3 linked regions of the Lytechinus pictus genome follow. The protein of the gene in region 2 interacts with the protein of the main gene of each other region in a biochemical or structural test. Links are inferred from orthologs where the notes say so. Each region holds a gene or a part of one and is shown on either strand. Other genes may lie near its edges.

Region 1 (8,201 bases), about 6.1 Mb from region 2:
GAAGGGAAAGGGAAGGGAAGGGAACGGGGGAAAGAGGATGCCTCGCAACCAAAGGTTGAATCAAAATGTGTTCATTTCACATTAACGAAATGATAATTAAATTACATACAAGAAGCAAGTCACATAAGAGAAATATAATTATTCCTAAAAATAAATATCATACATTGAAGAAGTAGGGAAACACAGAAGGAAGATGATGAAAAGAAGGTGAAGGGGGCGAAGGAGGAGAAGAAGAAGGTGGAGGAGGAAGAAGAACGAGGAAAAGAAGAAGAAAAAAAAAGAAGAAGAAAGAGGAGGAAAAAAAAGAAGGGGGAGGAGGAGAAGAAGAAGGGGATAGGAGAGAGAGAGGGGGAGGAAATGGGAGATCAAGGAGATACTCGGTAGGGGGTATCGATGTTTACTCTATGGATTTCTCCCCTTTCTTTTTTTTTTCTTTGAATATATCCCACTAGATCCGTCCTTCAATTATCCTCTCTGTTGAACATAGTGTTTACAGCTTGAAACAGAATAAAAAAAACATCACTTTTTTATCAGCTAGGCTTTCATCTGTAATATTAAAATATTGTTATTCAGTTTTCCAGAGATGTTTTAAGTTAAAAGAAGATGGAACTGTGGGGGAGGGGTGGCACTTTTCAGTAAAAATACACAAACGTGAAAATGATGATCAAATTGTTACTTTATGTACAGTCACCCCCTTCCAGTTTTAAATTCGTTCCGCGGCCCCTGTTTCTCGTGATCGCTAGTGGGTAAGGAAAGCAATATACAGCCTTTTGACAGGCCATATATATAGCAGCTGGTTACCGGTACGGTATTCATTTCCATTTTCAATTTTAACCAGTTTTGAGGAACACCATACATGTACTTGTCAGTTGTTGGCCGCGCGCGCGTTTCCGTTTTACACCCTGGCGAAGGCATTTTCCGGAAAAATAGCCACAAAGCGACTAGTGAAGAGTCTACGTCTACGTTTGTTTACATAATCAGCTGGGCGCGATCCAAAAGTCCGCACCGAAGATATCCTAGAACATACGTGCAAATGCAGCTGAGCTTATAGACCAAAAGCTTCAGTCTCTGTATTTTGGTTGTTCCGCTGAACTATATACGTTGGCTTCATGATTTTTTTTACTATCGCACATGATCGTTTATATGAATGAAAACGAATAATAGCTAAAATATTGAAAAGTAAAACACATAATTACTTTTTTTCATATTATATCTATCCTTATATCTATCATATCTGTCTATCCACTATCTGTTAATTTGTCTATCTACTCTGTCTCTCTCATTCTCTATCTACCTATCTATCTGTCTATCTATCTATCCATCTAACATCTATCTCTCAAATTCTCTATCTATCCATCTGTCTCTCTTTTATTTCTCTCTATCCATCTGTTAATCTACTCATGTGCAATATCAACACTGCTTCGACTTCCTTCGGGAGTCTATTTCCTCAGCTCTACTTTTCCCTTTTTTGTGCTCAATTCGATTCAATTACTACTTTATTTACTTGTTACCATTGTTAAATGTCTTGTATTGCATAATGAGTTTTTTTTTCTTCTGAAGGTTGCCTCCTATTCTCTTTCAAATTCCACCTCTTGCTTTCCCTTCTCTTTGTCTTATCCCAATTTCTTTCCCTTCTCTCACCTCTTTCTTCTTAATCTTTCATTCCGCTTTTTTTTCTTTGGTGACACTTTACTTTTGGCCTTTTGTATTTATTTATGATACATTTCTTTTTTATCTGTATGAATTTGTATTGTATTTGATATTTATTTATAAAGTTTACTTTATATTTTGTAATGATTCTATTTGTATGTAAACATTCACTTATTTCAGTCTTTGACTGCTTGTGATTGTATTTTGATAGTTTTTATTGCAATAAAATCCAATATATATATATATATATATATATATATATATATATATATATATATATATATATATATATCTCAAATTCTCTCTATCTATCCATCTGTCTGTCTTTTTCTCTCTCTCTGTTTCTCTCTATCCGTCTATCTATCTCTCGAATTCTCTCTATCCATCTGTCTGTCTGTCTCTCAAATTCTCTCTCTCTATCTATCTATCCATCTGTCTGTCTTTTTCTCTCTATCCGTCTATGTATCTATCTCTCAAATTATATATCTATCTATTTATGTGACTACAGTATCTATCTATTAATCTTCCCTGTCTCTCTCTCTCTATATATATATATCTATCCATCTCTATTTCTCTAGTTCTCTCTCTCTCTATCAATCTATCTATCTATCTTCTATCTATCTATATGTAACTGCAGTATCTATCGATAATTTGTCGCTCTTCTCTGTCTCTCTCATTCTTTATCTATCTAACATCTATCTATCTCTCAAATTCTCTATCTCTCTCTCCCCCTCTCTCTATCTATCTATCCATCTTTCTGTCTTTCTCTCTCTATCTATCTTCTATCTATTTATTTATCTATCTCTCAAATTCTATCTCTATCTATCTATGTAACTACAGTATCTATCTATCTGTTAATCTTCTCTGTCTCTCACATTCTTTATCTATCTATCTCTCTCTATATCTCTCCCTCTATCTATCTATCTATCTATCTATCTATCTATCTATCTATCTATCTATCTATCTATCTATCTATCCATCTGTCTTGTTTTCTCTCTTTCCCTATTTCTCTTTTTCCGTCCATATATATCTATCTATCTATAACATCTCTCCCTCTCTCAAGTTCTCTCCCCATCTATCTATCTATCTATCTATCTTCTATCTATTTATCTATCTATGTAACTACTGTATCTATCTATCTGTTAATTTGTATATCTTCTCTGTCTCTCTCATTCTTTATCTATCTATCCATCTAACATCTACCTATCTCTCAAATTCTCTATCTCTCTCTCTCTCTCCCTCTCTCTATCTATCTATCCATCTGTCTGTCTTTCTCTATTTCTCTCTATCTATCTATCTTCTGTCTATCTATCTCTCGAATTTTCTCTATCCATCTGTCTGTCTGTCTCTCAAATTCTCTCTATCTATCTATCCATCTGTCTGTCTTTTTCTCTCTATCCGTCTATGTATCTATCTCTCAAATTATAAATCTATCTATCTATCTATTTATGTAACTACAGTATCTATCTATTAATCTTCTCTGTCTCTCTCTCTCTCTATCTATCCATCTGTATTTCTCTAGTTCTCTCTCTCTCTATCAATCTATCTATCTATCTTCTATCTATCTATCTATGTAACTACAGTATCTATCTATCTGTTAATTTGTCTATCTTCTCTGTCTCTCTCATTCTTTATCTATCTATCTATCTATCTATCTATCTATCTATCTATCTATCTATCTATCTATCTATCTATCTATCTATTTATCTATCTATCTATCTATATATCTATCTAAAATCTATCTATCTTTCAAATTCTCTATCTCTCTCTCCCTCTATCTATCTATCCATCTGTCTGTCTTTTTTTCTCTCTCTTTCTCTATTTCTCTTTTTCCGTCCATATACAGTATATCTATCTATCTATAACATCTCTCCATCTCTCAAGTTCTCTCCCCCATCTATCTATCTATCTATCTATCTATCTATCTATCTATCTATCTATCTATCTATCTATCTATCTATCTATCTATCTATCTATCTATCTATCTATCTATCTATCTATCTATCTATCTATCTATCTTATCTATCTATCTATCTATCTATCTATCTATCTTTTATCTATTTATCTTTTTCTCTCTCTCTGTTTCTCTCTATCCGTCTATCTATCTCTCGAATTTTCTCTATCCATCTGTCTGTCTGTCTCTCAAATTCTCTCTATCTATCTATCCATCTGTCTGTCTTTTTCTCTCTATCCGTCTATGTATCTATCTCTCAAATTATAAATCTATCTATCTATCTATTTATGTAACTACAGTATCTATCTATTAATCTTCTCTGTCTCTCTCTCTCTCTATCTATCCATCTGTATTTCTCTAGTTCTCTCTCTCTCTATCAATCTATCTATCTATCTTCTATCTATCTATCTATCTATCTATATGTAACTACAGTATCTATCTATCTGTTGATTTATCTATCTTCTCTGTCTCTCTCATTCTTTATCTATCTATCTATCTATCTATCTATCTAACATGTACCTATCTCTCAAATTCTCTCTCTCTCTCTCCCCACCCCCTCTATCTATCTATCCATCTGTCTGTCTTTCTCTATTTCTCTCTATCTATCTTCTATCTATCTATTTATCTAGCTATCTATGTAACTACAGTTTCTATTTATCTGTTAATTTGTCTATCTTCTCTGTCTCTCTCATTCTTTATCTATCTATCTAACATCTATCTCACAGATTCTCTCTATCTCTCTCTATCTATCCATCTGTCTGTCTTTTTTTCTCTCTCTCTGTTTATTTTTATCCGTCCATATATCTATCTATCTATCTATCTATCTATAACATCTCTCCATCTCTCAAGTTCTCTCCCCCCATCTATCTATCTATCTATCTATCTATCTATCTATCTATCTATCTATCTATCTATCTATCTATCTATCTATCTATCTATCTATCTATCTATCCATCTCTCTGTCTTTCTCTCTCTCTCTCTACTTCTATCTATCTATGTCTCTATCTATTTATCAGTCTTATATCTATCTTTCGGCATCTAAGTGTATCAATCCATCAAACTTCAATTTTCTTTCTATTATATGTATCTGTTTATTTTTATTTTGTCTGTCATTCTATTCATTTAGTTAATAATTTATATTTAGAAAAATAAACTTTTTCATAGCTTTTCATAAAAAAAACGTAACTGCAAAAGCATGTTCGGATTTCACTCATATGACTGCTCTCTGAACATGAAGTGCCGAGGAACTCTATGCTTTGATCAGTAACTGTGCAGATTGCATGCGGTGGTGTGGGGCTCGCCTGAGTCGCACGCTGCAACCAGCGACGTGTACTGTGTAGACTCTTCACTAGTCGCTTTGTGGCTATTTTTGCGGAAAATGCCTTCGCCAGGGTGTAAAACGGAAACGCGCAGGTGTGAAAACGTTACTTTAAATCCGAGAAATCTGATTTATTACAAGGATAATATCAAGGTAAAACATTATGATGAAGAAAAAGAGTATTGTAAAATCTAAATAATCTAAAAATCTAGATTTTGATAGAGTGTTTTGTCGGCAATAATGAAGACAAATCGAGTGACCTCTTTCGATATCTTTCTTTCAGTCCCGTGCGTGCCTTTTCGTGAAAGTGAAATGTTTAGCTATCACACAGCCGGTTCGAGAATAAATTGAGACTTTCTCGTAGTCGTAATCGTATAGTGAGTGATTGTATTACCGACCGGCCTTGTATTACCGAACGTGCGCATCATACACATCAGAAAATAATTCCATATGCTCAAAATTTTGCAACATCCTTTCAAAGAGAACTTGAACATGTTGAATAGAACACTCTAGGCCTAGGCGACACCCCAATACTTACCTGTGCTAATAAACTGGGACTCCACTCACGCGCATTTGGGCCGCCCTAGCTTAGAACTAAGCTTTGTTTTACTAAAAAATAAATCTTGTAATGATTCAATAAATGTTACTTAATAAATTAGTACTGTTAAATCGGTACTCACCGGTTCTTTTCTTGAATTTTCTGGCAATTTCCCACGCTTCTGGCTTCAATTCTGCGGCTGTTCCTGTCGCGGTAGACAGCTACATATGCAGCTTTATTTATAAATAGAGCGCCCCTTACGATAGTTGTTAAGAACGCGGCCAAATTGTTAGGTTTTTTGCACTGTGTCCAAGGCGTTTTTATTTTGTTTGATTTTTTATTTTTTAATAAATATTTTGTTAAATAGCGATTTTTACGTCAAATATTAAATTCATATCACAAAATATTTTTAATTGTAGAAATATATAATATCATGCAATTTTTTATTCTATATATATTTTATAATAAAATTTATAATTGTTGCGGTCTTTAAAAAAGGATAGTCGATCGATCAGGTGATGACTACTCGTATCACGTGATCTGAAAATCAGCTTCGTACCGCTTTGATCGCACTCGACGGGACCGGACTGACTGCCAAGAAAAGATCGAAAAAGGACTCAAATGTAAGTTTCCCTTTATTTTATAACATTTAAAATATGAGTAGGATTATAGTTAATGGGTAATTTTTTAATAAATGCTAAACAAATGAGGACAAAGCTTGCATTTTTCGAGTAATAATCACGAATATCATAAAAATACTTGGGTGCAGGACTTCTAACCTGTTTTTAACGCATTGTCGCCTATGAGGTCCATACATGTTAATGTTTGGACCTCATTGGTACTACTACTAGGAGTGGAATAGAAAGATGAAAAATTGTCAAATTTACTCAAAAACACATTTTCAAATCAAAGCTTTGGACTTTTGGTCTCTGTTAATGTTATAATTTTATTGATTGTTCCGCTGAACTCCGGTGGCGGTGGCTCCAGGCATCACCAATTACACTTAACTTTGTTACAGAGACCGAAGTTCTACCTCGATCTGTACAGGGACTCCATCATGATCATGGACATGGCCATATGTTTATGTATTAAGTTAGGATAAACCAGGGAAGTGAGAGTTGCGCGACAGCCGTAGTAAGTGACTGTTTTTCTCCTTTTAAGTTTATTTTTTCCTGTGTAGGAGCATTTCAGGCCAAAATGGAATAACAATCTTTAATTTATTTTGGTCCAGTTCGTTTTATATATTTTTATGAAATAAAGACAAAAATCGATGAGCCCTGTCGGGGGCACTCCTAGTACCAATGAGGTCCAAACGGGGAGTTTGCATTGTTAACCCCCTAAATAGGCCTAATGCCAATGGCGGCTGCACGATTGCGAGCCGTCTGTGTACGAGGAGAAATTTAAAAAAACAAAAATGTTTAAAAACTCCTTGAAACTGACGGCTGCCAGCTGTCTAAGCCAGGCACAGCCCAAAAAAGAAACAAGTAGTCTTGAGGGGGAGCATATAATCTCTACTTTAGAAATTAACATTAAACATGAATTTTGTTAATTTCCACAAAATCAATGACCATGTTGAGCCTTTTTGCAATATTTTCTGTTCTAAAATTTGTCTTTTTACAATTGCATTCAATGGGGTATGTTGACATTGTTGAGGGTAGGAAATGAATATTCATGATGAAGAGATAGGGGAATTCCGATACAGAGGATAGGGCGCATGTGCGGAGCGCGAAAAAGGGGATTTCCCCTATCTCTGTCCTGAATATTCAATTCCTAGCCTCGGTATCAGTCGGTCATTATTTTTGTTTGCAATTTTCAGTAGAGGCTCACGGCCAATATGGGAGACTCTCCAATATGGGAATCTCCCATATCAGAGACTTGCTTTGCTGAAGGACAAAAGAAACAACACCAACAAGAACATTATTTTTGAATGAATGAATGAATCTTTATTTCGTTTCAATTCCAATATCAAGCAACAACAATAAGTAAATAACAACAGTAGATTATTGGGATACAAGTAAATAGCAAAGAACAATAGTAAATAATTACAGGATAATATACATAATACATGCACTACTTTTTATGGAACATTAATAACACCCATGAGAACAGACGGAAATGAAACGTGGTGACCTACTAAGAAGCTTAGCTTGTGGGCCATAGGCCACCAGAATGTTAAAAAAATTATATTAGCAATCATTTTAAAACATCATAGAACAAGCAAACAAAAAATTTGAGTAAATAACCAAAGTACAGATATACATATTTACAAAAGATACACTAAAAAGTAACAAAAAGGTGAAATGCAGAATGCAAACATTCTATTAGACCTAAAGTATAAGAATCTAAAATTCAAAAAGAAGAAAGAAAAGATGAAAATATAAAGAAAATAGGCAGAGCTCTATTTTTGCATAGATAATTGTGGGAAGAATACAATTTATAAAGTTAGACGAGATATAACAAGCAGGCATTCGTTTACTGATTTAAGTATTTCTTCAGTAAATCGGTCTTTAACTTGTTTCTAAAAACACTAAGGCTAACTTTTTTCTTCAGTGAAGAAGGAAGGGAGTTCCATAATTTTGGCCCTGTATAAACGAATGTATTTAGCCGAAAACTAGTTTTGACCAATGGCAAGTGGAGAAAAGAAACTTGTCTTGTATAGTAAGAATGGATTTGGTCATTTCTAACACATAATGAATCAAGGGCAAGTGGAAGTTCTCTTTTATTTAATTGATACATAATGC
Region 2 (8,495 bases):
ATTCTCTGAAGGGGGGGGGGGGGAGGGCACGGGCCGGATGTGACCCCCCCCCCCCCCCCCCCCCCCCCCCCGATCCGCCACTGATGTATTGTATGGTGTTTAATATTAACCAGCTGGATTCATTTCTGGGGAGTGGATATTTTTTCTGTGATTTTCACTGATTCATTTGCTCTGATCCAATCAGAGCAAAGGATTTCAGGAGCTTATTTTTTTCATGAAATTCTCCCCTTGATTCAGCGATAGGCAGGTAGGGCTTGGGAATTCCTCACAGGGAAATCCTACTTCCTCTGAAATACCCACTTTCTATTATGTATTTATAAAACCATGAACTTGGGTGAGGTGCGATCAGTTTCTGCTAGTCAGATTGTCAGGGAAACATACCGAAATATCTTCAGTTTGTGAAAGAAAAAATCTTCAGATTTTATATTTCTACATACAGTGGAATGGTCTGTTGTCATTATTTTTGTAATTTTGTATAACTTTCTATTAGGGGCATTGTTTTATAGTGCATGATTTTCATATGTAATGAAATTGAAATTAATACCGTCAGTAGAATGATTCTGAACAACTTAAATGAATCATCTTGTTTTGTACAGTGCATGTAGTGTATCTCTGTATTTGACTATCAGTGTAATACTATATTGTAATACATAAATATTGTTTTATTCAGTTTGGGTTTCTTCTTCCAACAAAGTACAGGCTGGAAGATTGATGTAAGGAAGAGTGGTAGAGTAATTTACATTAGTATCACCAGAATCATGTTTATCAATCTGAATTTGGAATTCATATCATCTGTGAGGCCGTTCTCATTACGCTTTCTAAAACTAGTTTACTGGAAACCGATTCAGGAAACCACTTTGGAAGATCGCTTTGCTAGCGTTCCCACTTGATCAAACGAAAGTGGTTTTCAAAATCACTTCACGGAAAGCGCTCTTGTTGCAATGGAAACGCTCTCAGTGGGGTGATACCTTTCGCGCGAAATTCGAAACCGCAGCATAGGTATTCTACACATGTCGTGTGGAGTAGCGCGCTCAAAATGTGCGAAGATCGCTTCCTGAAGAACGGTTGTGTCCTCACTTACGCTAAAACCAGTTTAACGAGGCAAAGCGATCTTGAAAACTACATCGCGAGGTGGTTTTCCAAACTGGTTTGGAATATTGCTTCCAAGACCGCTTCGACCGTTCTCACTACGCGTTAAAGTACTAGTTTCCACTAAAGTAGTTTCCAGTATACTAGTTTTAGGAACGTAGTGAGATCAGCCTCTGTGGAACGATACAGTATTTGCTTGATCACACAGGGAAGGAGTGCACTGGAAGTAGCTACTGCTGAGGGTCATCTAAATGTTATCACTAAACTGGTGGAAATGGATGAAGGTAAGTTTTATATCTTTCTCACTGTATAACTTCTAATTTTTCAAGCTAGCAGCTCAGTGTATATTTGGAATCAAGGTTTTTGATGTTGAGACGTTAAACTGATTTCTAACTGGAGAGCTCCATATTATGACCAACAAAAGACAATGAATGCATGGACGTAGCAACACATCTTCTTTGGGACCCCCCCCCCCCCCAGGAAAAAGTTTTAGCTGCCAATTCCAGTAGTCTGAATGATTCCTATACTGTAGAATTAAAGGTCAAGTCCACTCTAGAAAAATGATGATTTGAATCAATAGAGATCGAATGATTATAACTCTGAAAATTTAATCAAATTTGGATATAAAGACATGACATTTCAAAATTTCACTTATTTTTCACAAAACTGTAATATGCACTGTAACTGAGAGTCAACCATGGTCCCTCTTTATTTCTTTTGTGCAACATGGTTTGAATTATAAAATGTTTCAATTTTTACAGATTTGATAGTAATTAGAAACTTGACTGAACAAAAAGATGTTGAAACAATGGTAATTTCAAAAGAAATAAAACTTTGTTTCACATGACAATGAGGTGAAAATTATTATAATTTATTAATATGTCATATAATGAAAAACAAAAGAAAATAAGTGAGTGGATGATGTCATCAGTCACCTCATTTGCATATTGACAAGGATGTAGGGCTGGACTTGTCCGTAAATTACCGTCTTGTGCAACCACCCCTTTATGTGAGGACATTCATCTCTGGACAATTAACTACCCCACACACCAAGCACCCTGAGGACATTATAACCCCCACCCCGCCTACCCGAAAAAAAAACGTGATATTAATGATATTGTTGATAATCCTTGTAGTGATACGGAGGGTGAGGATAATAATCAAGTTATTTTAGGAAGTAGTTGCCCATATAGTATTTGTCATCGAGCATGCTTGTTCTGGGGAAGGGTAGTTGTCTGAGAAGGGGGGGGGGGGTGTCCCGTTTTGTCATAGGGAGTACATGTGTAAGGGTCCTTTTTCCTTAAAGGTGAGTACTGATTCTATTTATCTGTGTTTGCATTTATGAATCTTCATCTCCATGTTTCCAGGACTTCTAGAGGATGTTGCCGAGTTGAAACAGCTTGTCTGCTGTGCCTGTAGAGAAGGGAAGAAGGAAGTGATAGACTACTGGTTGGATCACCTGATAAGACAGAGTCCTAGGCCTGGGCACCTCTTCTCTGAAGAACATGATCCCAATCCGCTTCTATCGGCTTGTCAAGGTATCATATCTTCATTCAGGGGATGAAAAGTTAACGAAAAATATTTTTAGGATTGGGGATGGGTGGTGGAGTTTATTCGTTATCATTCCAAATTGCATTTTTGTTCCATTGCAACTTAAAAATTTGCATTTTAGGCAATTTATTCATAGCCATCATTTATATATTTTTACTACTGGTATGTGGTATTTCATACAAAATTATTAATTGTTTGAAATTTACACAAAATTAGGCATGAAATCTTATGAAAAGAAATCATAGAAGTTATGATTTTGTCTCGCCCACTAGAGGTGAAGGCGAGACTTAGGGATCCAAATGTCGTCCGTTGTCCGTCCGTCACAAACCTTATGACACATAACTCCACAACCGTAAGTCACTTTTCAACCAAACTTGGATGGTAGATGGACTTGGGGGACCTGCATGTTATGCTGCAGTCGGAGGTCACATGGTAAGGTCAAAGGTCATTTTCAGGTCAACGTTAAAGTTTACATGCAAGACTCTCTCATGACACCTAACTCCACAACCAGAAGTCACTTTTCAACCAAACTTGGATGGTAGATGGACTTTGGGGACCTGCATTTTATGCTGCAGTCGGAGGTCATATGGTAAGGTCAAAGGTCATTTTTTCACGTTAAAGTTTACATGCAAGACTCTTATGACACCTAACTCCACAACCAGAAGTCACTTTTCAACCAAACTTGGATGGTAGATGGACTTTGGGGACCTGCATGTTATTATGCAGTCCGAGGTCATATGGTAAGGTCAAAGGTCATTTTTAGGTCAACGTTAAAGTTTACATGCAAGACTCTTATGACACCTAACTCCACAACCGTAAGTTACTTTTCACCCAAACTTGGATGGAAGATGGACTTGGGGGACCTGCGTGTTATGCTGCAGTCGGAGGTCACATGGTAAGGTCAAAGGTCAGTTTCAGGTCAACGTTAAATTTTACATGCAAGACTCTTCTGAGACCTAACTCCGCAACCGTAAGTCACTTTTCAACCAAACCTGGATGGTAGATGTACTTGGGGGACCTGCATGTTATTTTGCAGTCGGAGGTCACATGATAAGGTCAACGGTCATTTTCAGGTCAATGTTAAAGTACAACCAAACTTCGATGGTAGATGTACTTAGGGGACCTGCATGCTATTGTGTTGGGAGGTCACATGGTATGGTCAAAGTTCATTTTGAGGTCAACATTAAAGTTTATGTGCAAGACTCTTATGACAAGTGTTATTCCATCCCAGTCATTTCACAAGGAAGTTTTGATACAATTCTGTTGCGTGCCCTCGCAAATCACTATATTTCTGGTTATTTTCATAAGTGGGCGAGACACAAAATTGCTTTTGCCTTGTATTTGTAATGAGGGTGGGGGTAATAGAAACCCATCAATTAACCAATACTACATTTTAAAAAAGCCCAAAGAAATAAAGCTGTAAAGTTAATGGATTACTGAAATAAAATCAAACTCTATTTAAGCCCCAGTCACATGTAGACACGGATCCTCAAAGATCAACACAGCAATGCCGGTATGAATTACAAAAAAATAAAAAACCCAAACTTCCTTTAACCAGTAAAAACGCTGTTTTAATTTTTTACACAATGCAGTTTACTATTTGTACAGTAGTTGTTAAGTGCTTGAAATCTTACATTACAAAATTTGAATATTTAATCTTAAATAAATAAAGCATGCTTATGTCAAGTGTTTAACAACTACTTGAAAGTTCATAAAGTAAACAGCGTTGTATAAAATTGATATGAAAAAAAAGAACACGGACTGTCAAGGATACTCCAGGCAACCATGCGGACCTACACGGCAACTACACGGACCAACACGGCAGCTACACAGACATCCCAGATTGCTTGTCTACCCGGCAGTCCACGGATGACACCGGACGTTTTTTTTATAGTAAAAAACTGCCATGTTGGCATCCCGGCCGGACATTCAAGGCGCCAACACAGATCTCTCCCCGGACCACCTCGAATCAGATCCGGGGTGGTCTGGGGCCTTTTTTTATGTGACTGGGGCTTTACAGATTATAGTGAAGACAACGTGCTTGATACTGAGGCCATTGCTACATGATTTGGGGTTTTTCATCATTTACGAAATAGTATGTCTCTCCCTTTTCTTTTTCCTTCTTTTTCTCCTATAAAAGTTGCCTGGTTTTTCCCCACTAGCCTTCTCAAGGGTTGCCTAAAGAAAGCTTTCTGCATTAATATTGTTAAAAAATAAATCTGCATTCATCCATAGAGCTATGATTCATCAGTGCTCAGACCTGAAGCTCCTAGGTATGCTCAATGGAAATATGGATGAATGCACATGAAAGGAAGTCTTTTTATGAAATCCTATGTTTAAACATTCCATGAGCCCCACAAATAAAGAGCTAGTGATAAAAATAAACCCCTGGGATTTCCCTTTAGCATTGCAGTGCAAGTACAATAGCAGGCGTGTGTGTAATTTGACCAGAAGGGATTACCATTTTCTACTTTTTTTTATCAAGTAAATGTTAACTCAAAAGGAACAGGTATAAGTTTAGTTGATATCTGACAAGTGTACTTCATGCAGTCTAGATAAAGTTAATGCTGTTTGTATCAGATGACAAATTCTTTACCTTGCAGGTAAGATTTGTGTATGTTCATGGTCATGGAAATGTACGTTATTTATTTGTGTGTGTCTTCCTGGATGTACCCCTCAATATTTGGATCCAAACAATCAAAAGAGGACCAAGGAGTGTGTACTGTTGCTTTTTAATCGTCCTTATTGCTTGAGACTTTGGTGCTGAAGTCGGTAGTTGTCAATGTTTGAGTTCTTGGATGTTTGGGATAATAATCATAATGTAGTATACAAGTATACCAGGCTTTGAGGATGCATAAAAAAAAATTTATCTGTGGTTGGACCGCCAATAACTATTTTTCAGAGAAAAAAAGGATGATATTCCCAGTCCAACCAAGGATGAATAATTTCCTCAATACTTAATAAAGAAACAACAGGTATATTTGGTTTATATCTGTTCTTTATTAAAGTAGATCCCAAAAATTCAGTCCTACTTGATCCATACCCAATCTGGACCAAGATATAGGTCCGTCACTTTGCTTTCATGCCCGAGGAGGGGGGCACACCCATTGACGAGTGGATACCAGGCGCGACCATTTGGTTATGAAATGCATATCCTAAACAAGCATTTTCCATATTTTGAAAACGCATCCCTTAACAAGTAGTATTGCCATGTGAAACCCTACCCTTAACAAGTATTGGAAACAAAACGGTAGCCTTGACAACTAATCCCTGAATTGACCCCCTAAACAGCGATATTTTAATTGTTATGTCATGGACGTCAGCTTTACCTCTACTTTTGTTGGGTTTAGTACCGCCCAATCTCCCACGCCTCTCTCAAATCGGACTCTAAACACATGTTGGGGCAAAAAGTACATCCTTTGTAAAGCATTTCAGTCTGTTTTATACCTTCGCAAATTTGATCGTAAACACATAGCTTTCCTAGCAAAATATGTACACTTTTTTCAGTATTTTAATGTTTTTGACACCCTTATTATGTTACGCGTAACATGCCCTTGAAAACTAGAGATCCTTTTTACGCGTTTCTTTGGTCGCGCCTGGTATCAACTCGTCATAAATGGAAGTGGCCCACCCCCCCCCCCCTTCTGGCTTGCATGCTGACCTACTTCTCTGTCCAAGGGAATCTGATTCGTTTCTAGACCGTTGCATCATGAAAGTTGCGCAGAAGAGACACGTAGTGGTTCAGCATATTTGAGAGATTGCATAATCTGTGACATCAATGATGGAGTAGCTAGTGCATTGATTTCATGTTTCATGGGGCTATTGCCAATAGTGCTGTATTTTTGGTGTCCATCTTATCTGTTTTGGGAGTCATTTGTGGGGACTTTCAGTTCATGTTCAAGAACTTTGCCTGTTATATTTTAAGAATAATACCAAACATAAGATATATGTAAATATGCCATGCAGTGTATGCAAGAAAACTTTTCACTGATTTACTATGCATCATGTATTCCAATCGTGATAAGTTCAAATTGAAACATTTTATAAGTTAAGTAACACTAACAGTGAGAAATAAACTTTCAATTTGCACTAGGCCTATTATTTGTCAATAGTTATTTTTGCAAATTGCTTTCAGATATATTTCATTCAATGTTACCTTTTATAAGTTTCTCCAGTGCCCTTCAAATAATCATAACTCGTAAATTCTGGACTCTGATCTTACACTCATTCTGAATATGGAAATGATATTTTCCTAGTAGCGAAGGTCCGATTGTTATGTTTAGCCTGCTTTATATCAATAGAAAAACTCGCTGTTAGATTTGATACCAGATGTACTGGATTTGATATTTGATTGATTGAACCTTTGGATGTTATTACCAGGTACAACATGGATGTTACTGATGAAAGGTAAGAAAGAAATGACAGTGTATACTTAGTTGTGTTTTGATGTCAGTAGGTTATGGGGGATTTATAATGGCAGAGAGGCAAACAGCCAGACATACTTGGATAAAATTCAAAAGAGATCTCATTTTATACACACTTGTGACAAAATAAAACTGCAAAAATGTACTCTTACATGTATTTGTTCAAAATATTTAAATGAAGCAGAATCACCAATTAATACAGATATTCCCTCCATTTTGTGTTCGGGAACTTCCTTTCAAAACTGGTGCAGCCGTGAGAACATTGAAACACGATACAATTACACGTATGTAATCAAATATTTGTGCAAGGCTTATTCAAACCCCATGTTATGATGATGAAAATAAAATGGAAACCGACATGTATAAATAAAGAATGTCAACTAAACACATTATAAAACTCATATTTATTAAATATGAGTTTTATAATGTGTTTAGTTGACATTCTTGATCCCAATTCAACTTGTTGCTTCAGAATCTTTTATCAATGCACATACGGTAATATAGTTTAAAGGTAAATGTGTAAAGTGTAGGATCTTCAGAATTTCATTGATTCCTTATTACATTCTAATTGACAAATATCATGTCAATTTCCCTATGTAATGTACGGTACTTGAACATAATGTAGCTATGTGCATGTGTGGAGTTTTCATGAAGTATATTGGCTAGAGCTGAACCATTCAGATTCAAAGGTTTGTTTCATGAATGTGCTAAAAGGGATGAACATATTTTGTTAAAAAACAAAATGTCTGGAATACTAGTTTGAGTTTCCTTCAAACAACTATTTTTTAACCTGTTAGAGACTGACTGAGCCAGCATGCATATACACAGGCTAGACTTTATGCACTATAGTGAAGTTTAGCAATATTTTGAGAAAACAGTCATCATGAATATTCATTAGGTGGGCTGATGATGTCACATCCCCACTTTCCGTTTTCTTATGTTATTACATAAAATCTTAATTTTTTCATTATTTCATACTTGTGTGAATAATATGTCTCCCTTATAATGAAATAAGTTGCAGCAATAAATATCCAATGCACTTGTCAATCCAATTTTCCTAGTTCTTGGAGGAAAAAAATTGAATAAACCTAATTTCATATAATAAAATACAAAAGAACAAGTGGGGATGTGACATCAGCCCACCTAATGAATATTCATGACGACTGTATTTGCAAAATATTGCTAAACTTAAAAATTCAATAACTTTGTTATTTGTTATCCGATTTTGATGAAATTTTTTTGGCATTTTGCTCAGTGAATTCTACTCTATTTATTAAGCTATAAATACTTTCAGCCCAGACCATCCCTTTAAGTGTGACTTTTAAGTCACTCTTTACTGTTTGTGAAACAACACTGTGTACTGAGTCATGCAAATCAATTTGATTTCCATTTCGGAAAGAAGAGGGCTTTACAGCCTCTCCATATGTGTTC
Region 3 (7,725 bases), on a different chromosome or scaffold from region 2:
TTATTCCGAAGGTTCGATAATCCAAAAACGAAATAAGGTTCGATGTTCCAAAGGTTCGTTAATCCGAAAACGAAATAAGGTTCGTTGTTCCGAAGGTTCGTTAATCCGAAAACAAAATAAGGTTTGTTGTTCCGAAGGTTCGTTAGTCCGAAAACGAAATATGGCTCGTTAATCATTTAGTTTTCGGACTAACGAACCTTCGGAATTACGAACCTCATTTCGTTTTCGGATTAACGAACCTTCGGAATTACGAACCTTCGGAAAAACGAACCTTCGGAATAACGAACCTTCGGAATATACGAACCTTCGGAATAACGAAGCTTCGGAATTACGAATGTATGCGGAAGAAGTAGTCTCATGTCAATTTGACATGCACCACTTGGTCACTGCAACCATCCTGCCTGTGGGGAATCTACAGGTAGGACTATGGGGTATGCCTATGCAATACACAACACACACTTTGAAAAATCATTAAGATATCACTTTTGTGACCAAAAATATTAATTTCCATACATTTGCAATTTGTTTTTCATCAGTATTTTGGGAATAATTTCTGTATTCACCAGAGCGCTAAAAAATGTTGGGCATATTTTTGTGTACGTCCTCTATTGGTGGAAATTAATATGGCAAGAAAATTATCGTTTTTCAATCTCTGTCTTTAATTTAGAGATAAAATAATTAAAAGAATCAAAATTACTTAAGAGCCAAGTTATATGATAAAAAGCTGTAATGGAAACTGACAATGTCAAAAAATCAAGCATTTGTCCAAAAGAAAAAGAGAAAATATGCCAAACCTTGCCAACCTTATTATTTTGCCACACATGGAGTAGTAACAGAGAATGAGGTTATATCAGATTCATAACCTTGTTCATTGAATGAGTGACATGCACTGATAAGTATGTATCTCTCGCTTTTCTAGTACTTTCACACGACCACAGATGCAAAACTATTCCTCTCACCTCATCCAGTGCATGCAATATTTCAAGTTTGATTTTACTTTGTGATAGGATGCAGATCCCTTTGAAAATTACAAGAGAAGAAGAATCTCAAATCAAATTTTTGGTGCATACATACACATATATGGCAGTGTATCCTATTGCCGGACACCTTTATTTCAATGCTTTAAAAATTACAACTAGAGGAAATACAATCAAGAAAAATTCGCACTTGCTATTCCAAATATTATGAAAATTATGAATATGATAAAATTATTTTACATTTACCAACCGTTACCTTTGCATCGCACTTGCCTCATACCCCTCCGCGAAAAACAATTATTTTTGTGCACGGCAAATTACATCATGATTCCGGACGCGCGCCGGACGGGTAAAGATATTCTTGATTGTAATGATGTAAGAAAGAATTTATATGATATTTTCTTCATATATGTTATCATGAGTAAATTTTAAGTTTTCGTTTGCTTTTTTATATCGAATGTGAGCAGATGTTGGTAATAAATTTGTGTTTGCTATTTTTTTTTCTTTTTTACTGCATGTTCCATGGCACTTTCCAATATTATGCTCGTTCATATCGTATGACGCTCATCAAGTTCTATCGATGCGCTGTCGATCGTCGACGGCTCTAATCACGGTAAACCTCGCGCACGGGTACCTTAAAGGAGAATGAAACCCTTGAAACCAGCTGAATCCATATCAAAGAGAAAAATCAAAGAAACATATTGTTGAAAGTTTGAGGAAGATTGAATGAATGATAAGAAAGTTATGAGCATTTGAATATTGAGATCACTAGTGCCATGTAGATCCTCCCATCGGCAATGCGACCAAGATCTGTGATATCACACACGTACAACTCCCTCATTACTTTAGTACTTATTTCACGTATATTCTCACTTTTATAGAGTCTATCACAAGGTGAGGTGTTCTCTTTATGAGATGACAAGTACAGAGGTTTCACAACATTATATCATTGATGAATCGTTTGTCATATGATTAGAATGAGCAAAAAGATGTTTTGGGGTATATTTTCAGTGTCCAAATGGGAGAGTTGTACGTGTGTGACATCACAGATCTTGGTCGCATTGCCAATAGGAGGATCTCCATAGCATTAGTGATCTCGACATTCAAATGCTCATAACTCTTTTATTGCTAGTCCTATTTTACTCAAAGTTTTGTTGATCTTATTCTTTGATTTTTCTGCTTTCACAAAAGCTAACTTGCTCCAAGAGTTTCATTCTCCTTTAATTGAGAACTAGCCGTCGATGCACCCACAATACACCAGGCTCAACATTCGATCGAAGGAGCGGACGAGATTGAAATTCGGCAAATCATCAAATCAGGCCCATATTTCCATCAGAACATAATTTGATTGTTAATGCAAAACTATGTTATATGATATTTTAAGCATTTTCTGTAATTTAAAAGATAAATAATGTAGTTTTTTTTTGCCTTGTTTTTTATTCTTGTTCTATGACTATGTATTGCCTATTGGATTGCTCTGTGAAATTTAACTGCGAAAGTCATGCAGTTTGAAAATGAAATTGTTTTCGTACGCAGTAATATGCGCGTCCAGAATCATAATAGTGTCCGGTCATACAATTACAATACGTGACTATAGTCTATAGTCTATACCTCCACACGCGTTTAACAATGTCAATGTTACTAACTACACTATAGTACACTACACAATCCGAGCCATGTGGGACCGAAGTAAAGAAACAACGAACTAAACACATCAAATCGTTGGAATAATCGAACAAAACCTTTCAAAATATTAATCATCACCTACTTTGCACACAACTGGTCGTTCTCAATGTACTGGTATCCAAGAAAAGTACTTAATAATTCTGCCTTTTGACCATCTAAACAGGCAGTCTCAATGTGACGATAATGGTCTTCTCACGACGAGGCCGACCGTTTCACGAGGACGAGCGTCCACGAGGCCGAGGCCGCGCGAGGGTCCATGAGGCCGAGGGTCTGCGGGCCGACTTTTCTTATCATACCGAGGTTATACCTGACTGCTAAGAAAGCACGAAGGCCTGTGAGCAAGTACCCAGGGGAGTGAGGGGACCAACGGCTTAAGGTCCTCTCCGAGTAACCTGGTAATGAGGATAAATGCCTTACCAAAGGCAAAGGGCACTATAGGTTATAGCGCACAATTTGGAATCGAACCCGGGTCACCGGAATCCGAAACCCCCGCTCTACCGACTGAGCTATATTTTCTTTAATCAGGATGTTTGTCTTCATCGATATTAATCAACTGAGTCGCAAATAATTAATAGGCAATAGCGAAAGTTATTTCAAGACCGCAAGTTCAAGGCATGCTATATATGATGAAGACTTTTTAAATGAAAATTTCATTAGTTTAATGACAAATCCAGATTGAAACATTCGGCATTGTCTCAAATAATCTAAATTCTAATCTTTAGATTATAATCTAAGTCCAGAATTTGACAGTTCAAATGTCATTTTTATAATAAGTTTCTGATCGTTCTGGACAATATGGTATATTTGACTTTATCAATTTCCAAATCTTGCTGTTTTCAAATGAAATAATTAAAATCTACATTCCAAGAAAAGAAACACAAGTGAGAAATAATAACAATATAACAAAATGTTTAAAACTCAAGTTTCAGATTTTTACAATGAATAAACGGCTGAAAAGAGACTCACCAGCTACATTAATGATGGGTGAGATATACTCGAGCATAAATCATGTTGTCCCGATTTACCAAACCTTTACATTATAAGATTATATTTAAGTTTTCAATAGAGAATATGCTAAGCTGAAACTTTTCCACTGATTGAAAAAAAAAATCCTAGTGAAAGAAAATACACTTTAAAAATCGGCCTCGCGGACCCTCGGCCTCATGGGCTTGCCCCGGGGCAAATAATGCTCAACTTAGTTCCAGTTCTAGCTTTATGTTTGGTAATACCGGTACATGAAATGCATGCGAGACAACTTTTAAAAGGTATGGTAATATGTTTAAAGAAAGTTCACACAACCAAATGGTAGAGTAGATGCTTCTGTTCTGAATTTGGTGAAACCACTGGCGTAAATCCCGGGGGGATGGGGGGGGGGGGGATATATCCACCCCCCCCCCCACTTTTCGAGGAGGGGGGGATGGCCTGGCCTGTACAAACATCCCCCCCCCCCACTTTTTACGAAAGAAATGAAAAAAAATCACAAGAGATAATTGTTTTATTGGTGAAAATTCTTCCTATAATACCGCTTAACAAATAAAATAATATTATTGAATCATAAAATGCAAATAAAGAGCCAGTTCACCATTTCCAAACGAAATACTTATGTCCTTATTATAACATTGAAGAGAAACCCCCGTTTCTTCCAATTCATCAATGTTGGGGTCTTCGGGAAGGGATTAAGATGGAATGTCAAAAAATTTTGAATGTAATCTCTAATAAAACCATTAAACCATCATGGGGTAAAAAAGATAATAATATTGGAGGGGTATTTGCCATATGGACATACAGTGGCGTAACTACGGGGGGCATGGGGGGCACATCCCCCCATCGGCTGTCCAAAAAAAAAGGGGGAAAGGAGAAAAGAGGGAGAGAAACGTATTGGGAAAGAAGAAAATATTATTCATTATAATGTTATATCATATTATAATTATGTTATGTTACATTACATAAGAAACATTTTTATCATAACTTTATGAAACATAATTTGCCCAGCGCCTACGTCTTCATTGTTCCTGGTGCTCGCATTGTCTGTTTAACGAAATATATAATCCTGTTGTACTAAAACATCCCGTTTTCAAGTCAATATAAACCAAATATATTTCCTAGCACTTGAGTTATCATTGTTTTATGTAGTGACATATGCTTCTTTTTCATGACTCAAAAAGTGATTGCCCCATGTTAAGGTCTTATATGAAACATTTCCTGTCCGTGATTACGTTCGCATTAGTGGATTGGTGAGATATATGTCTGCTCTTCATAAATTCCTAAAATCAGTCCTTAAAATGTCCCTTCTTCTGATCTGAATATAAAAATTTTTTTCAGCTCGCGCTTCGCGCTCGCATCGTTTGGTTAATGAAATACGTATGGTCCTAGTTAATTCCTACAAAGAAACCTTAGAATGCCCCACTTCAGGTCTGAATTATCTAAGTTTTCAGCTCGCGCTTCGCGTTCGCATTGTTTAGCGAGACAGGTTCCTATCATGATTACACAAATTTGATTATAATGTCCCTTTTTAGGTGTGAATATAAAAAAAATTCAGCTCGCGCTTCGTGCTCGCATTATTTGATCAGTGAGATACATATCCGTTTAATGACATTGTCCTTAAAATGTCTATATTAGGTCAGTATAACTGGCAACTGAGCGCGCTTCGCGCCCTCACTAGCGCACTCACTCAGTGATTCAAAAATTTTGCTGGTGCCCCCCCCCCCAATGCCGTGACCCACTGTGGACATATCAATGACAATTTCTTGCATATCTAAAAACATGTTCACAAAAAAATGCCAAAATATTTCAGTCATCCCCCCCCACCCATCAACACGGATTTACGCCATTGGGTGAAACCATAGTGTGGAACAGATCAACAAAAGAAAACAACTTCCCGGAGCACTCTCACTTACATATATAGTAACAGTTTGACAACCATATGATTCAAGTTCAAGTTTATTTATTTAAAAAAACACATTATTATCAAAATAAATATAAATACAATGCATATGAATACATAAACACGTATCAATTAGATTATAGCATAGGCGAATAGGATCGACCCCTTTAGAAGCAAGGCTTGTGAGCGGGGGCCTAGAATATAGGCCGACTTAACACGATCTACATAATACATAAGCGAGTGAGAAAAAAGTTGATGTTAGCCTATGCTAAACTAGAATATAAACTATATAAACTTCGCTCTCGATTTTTTGAAACTGGCAAAAAAAAAAATCGTGTCCGCCTCAGTGCCCCCCCCCCCGAAAAATGTTCCTTTATTTGCCCCCCATGTTAAAAAATCCTGGTGTTGCCACTGAGCACAACAACAAAACAATTCTTTCCGACAGTATGTAATGTGCAATCTTTGTACACGATAACTTTAGAAATAGCGCCCCTTTTATATATTATGTTGTAAATTGATGTCATGATTGGATTTTAAGAGGTAAACTGTAAGTTGTTTATATCAATGTTAGATAAAAATATATAGTCTCAGACAATATTTTTTTAATTTCATTTCGTTTATTTCCATTTTTAACAAATACAGTGTCCAATACAATGTCAAAACCTTGACAAGCAAAAACGACAATGAAGGTATATTACGTGTAATCTTCATACACGATTACTTTCTAAATAGCGCCCCTGCATATTGAGTCAGCTCTCAGCAGGTCGGTGTCACAATCTGATTTAAGATTCACGATTTTACCCAATCTAGGCTAAGAATTGCCAGAAGCGGATCTAGAGGGAGGGTTGGGGGGGTTGCAACCCCCCCCCAAAAAAAAAAAAAAAAATCCGGGGACCATTTTTTTAAATCTTATCTTTTTTTTTAAACTTGTAATTTTATTTTATTCTATTTCTACAGTGCGTCCCAAAAAAAACTATACACTTTTGAAATGGCTGCCAAATAAAAAATATATCACTTTGGGGGGAAACACTTACATACATGGAAGCCTATAAAGTCAACTTTAAAATGACACCAAAAAGTTGGAAAACTTTTCATGCTTGAGCGAGCACTGCCCACTGAAACAAAGGGTATGAAAATTAGGGTGGGCAGGAATTAGCCTTCCAATTTCTTTCAGTTTTTGAGATGCGAGTCCCTTGGAACTTGCAAAGTTTTGATAAATCAATGATCAAGCATTATCAATTTAGGTTTTTAGAGCAAATTTTAAGAATTATTAAATTGAAATTTAATGTATGAGTGAACATGAAATACAATTTTTCACTTTTTAAGTGGATCTCAGCAATGTGTTCATGGAAGTCAGAATAGGGATAGGACTTAGGTGGGGGAAGTAGGTTGACGGGATATGGGTCAACAGAACACTTAACCCCCCCTCTCTCTCTCTCTACCCCTTTCACCCCTCCTGAGAGACTAGCCTTTGCTAGGGTGAGCAGGAATTAGCCTTAATTCCATTTTTTTAGAGGTGAGTCCTTTGGAACTTGCAAAGTTAAGGGTGTTATGCTAAATTACTGATAAATGGAGATCAGTTTTGGTTTCTTAAGCAAATTTCACGAGTTACTAAATTGAAATGTAATGCATGAGTAAACAGGAATTGTAATTTTAGTGTAGCATTTTTCGTTTGTTATGTGGATCTTAGCAAGTGTGCTTGTGAGAGTCAGAGTAATGTGATGGTACCTGTTACATGCAAGGGGATGAGATAGGGTAAGACTGGGTTAAAGGGGCATTCTTCTTTGTGTTCTCTTACAAATTACGTGTCATGTACTCACCCCCGCCCTCCACCCCTTTCTTTCTCTTGGTTGGTATTTAAAACTTAAAATGCCAAGTGACTGATGGTTGATGGGTCTTTTTTTTCCATTGAATGATTTATTAAGAACTTGGCTAATTATGATGATTTATAAAATGATTTATTGAAAAAGCTGAATGTTTGATTAATAATTTATTGAAAAAGGTGAATATTTGATTGATCACATTGATTGAGTTTATTTACTAACAGATTGTTGATTGAATGAATGATAGATAAAAGTTGATGATCTAATTTTTAGAATTTATTATCAAATTGACAGTCCGCTTTGCACTTAATGCGTACATGTAATAGCAATCAGTCTCAATCTCAACAGGAGGGGG

What was found.
Region 1: the proteins of leucine-rich repeat serine/threonine-protein kinase 1-like (region 2) and DNA-directed RNA polymerase II subunit GRINL1A-like form a complex in vitro, tested with the Homo sapiens proteins (2 studies listed by BioGRID and IntAct, with this or other methods). The link is inferred for Lytechinus pictus from reciprocal best matches to the Homo sapiens genes LRRK1 and POLR2M.
Region 3: the proteins of leucine-rich repeat serine/threonine-protein kinase 1-like (region 2) and ribosome quality control complex subunit TCF25-like form a complex in vitro, tested with the Homo sapiens proteins (2 studies listed by BioGRID and IntAct, with this or other methods). The link is inferred for Lytechinus pictus from reciprocal best matches to the Homo sapiens genes LRRK1 and TCF25.

The regions. Positions count from the first base shown.
Region 1 is NC_087249.1:18,274,865-18,283,065, forward strand, and holds the start of DNA-directed RNA polymerase II subunit GRINL1A-like, read left to right. Parts: upstream 1-4,976; 5' UTR 4,977-4,982; coding exon 4,983-5,075; intron 5,076-8,201.
Region 2 is NC_087249.1:24,365,034-24,373,528, forward strand, and holds the start of leucine-rich repeat serine/threonine-protein kinase 1-like, read left to right. Parts: upstream 1-5,154; 5' UTR 5,155-5,243; intron 5,244-8,495. Other genes in the region: uncharacterized protein LOC129261642, read left to right, coding at 1,298-1,373, 2,457-2,653.
Region 3 is NC_087246.1:54,860,198-54,867,922, forward strand, and holds the start of ribosome quality control complex subunit TCF25-like, read right to left. Parts: upstream 3,226-7,725; 5' UTR 2,746-3,225; intron 1-2,745. UniProt on the Homo sapiens protein: Component of the ribosome quality control complex (RQC), a ribosome-associated complex that mediates ubiquitination and extraction of incompletely synthesized nascent chains for proteasomal degradation.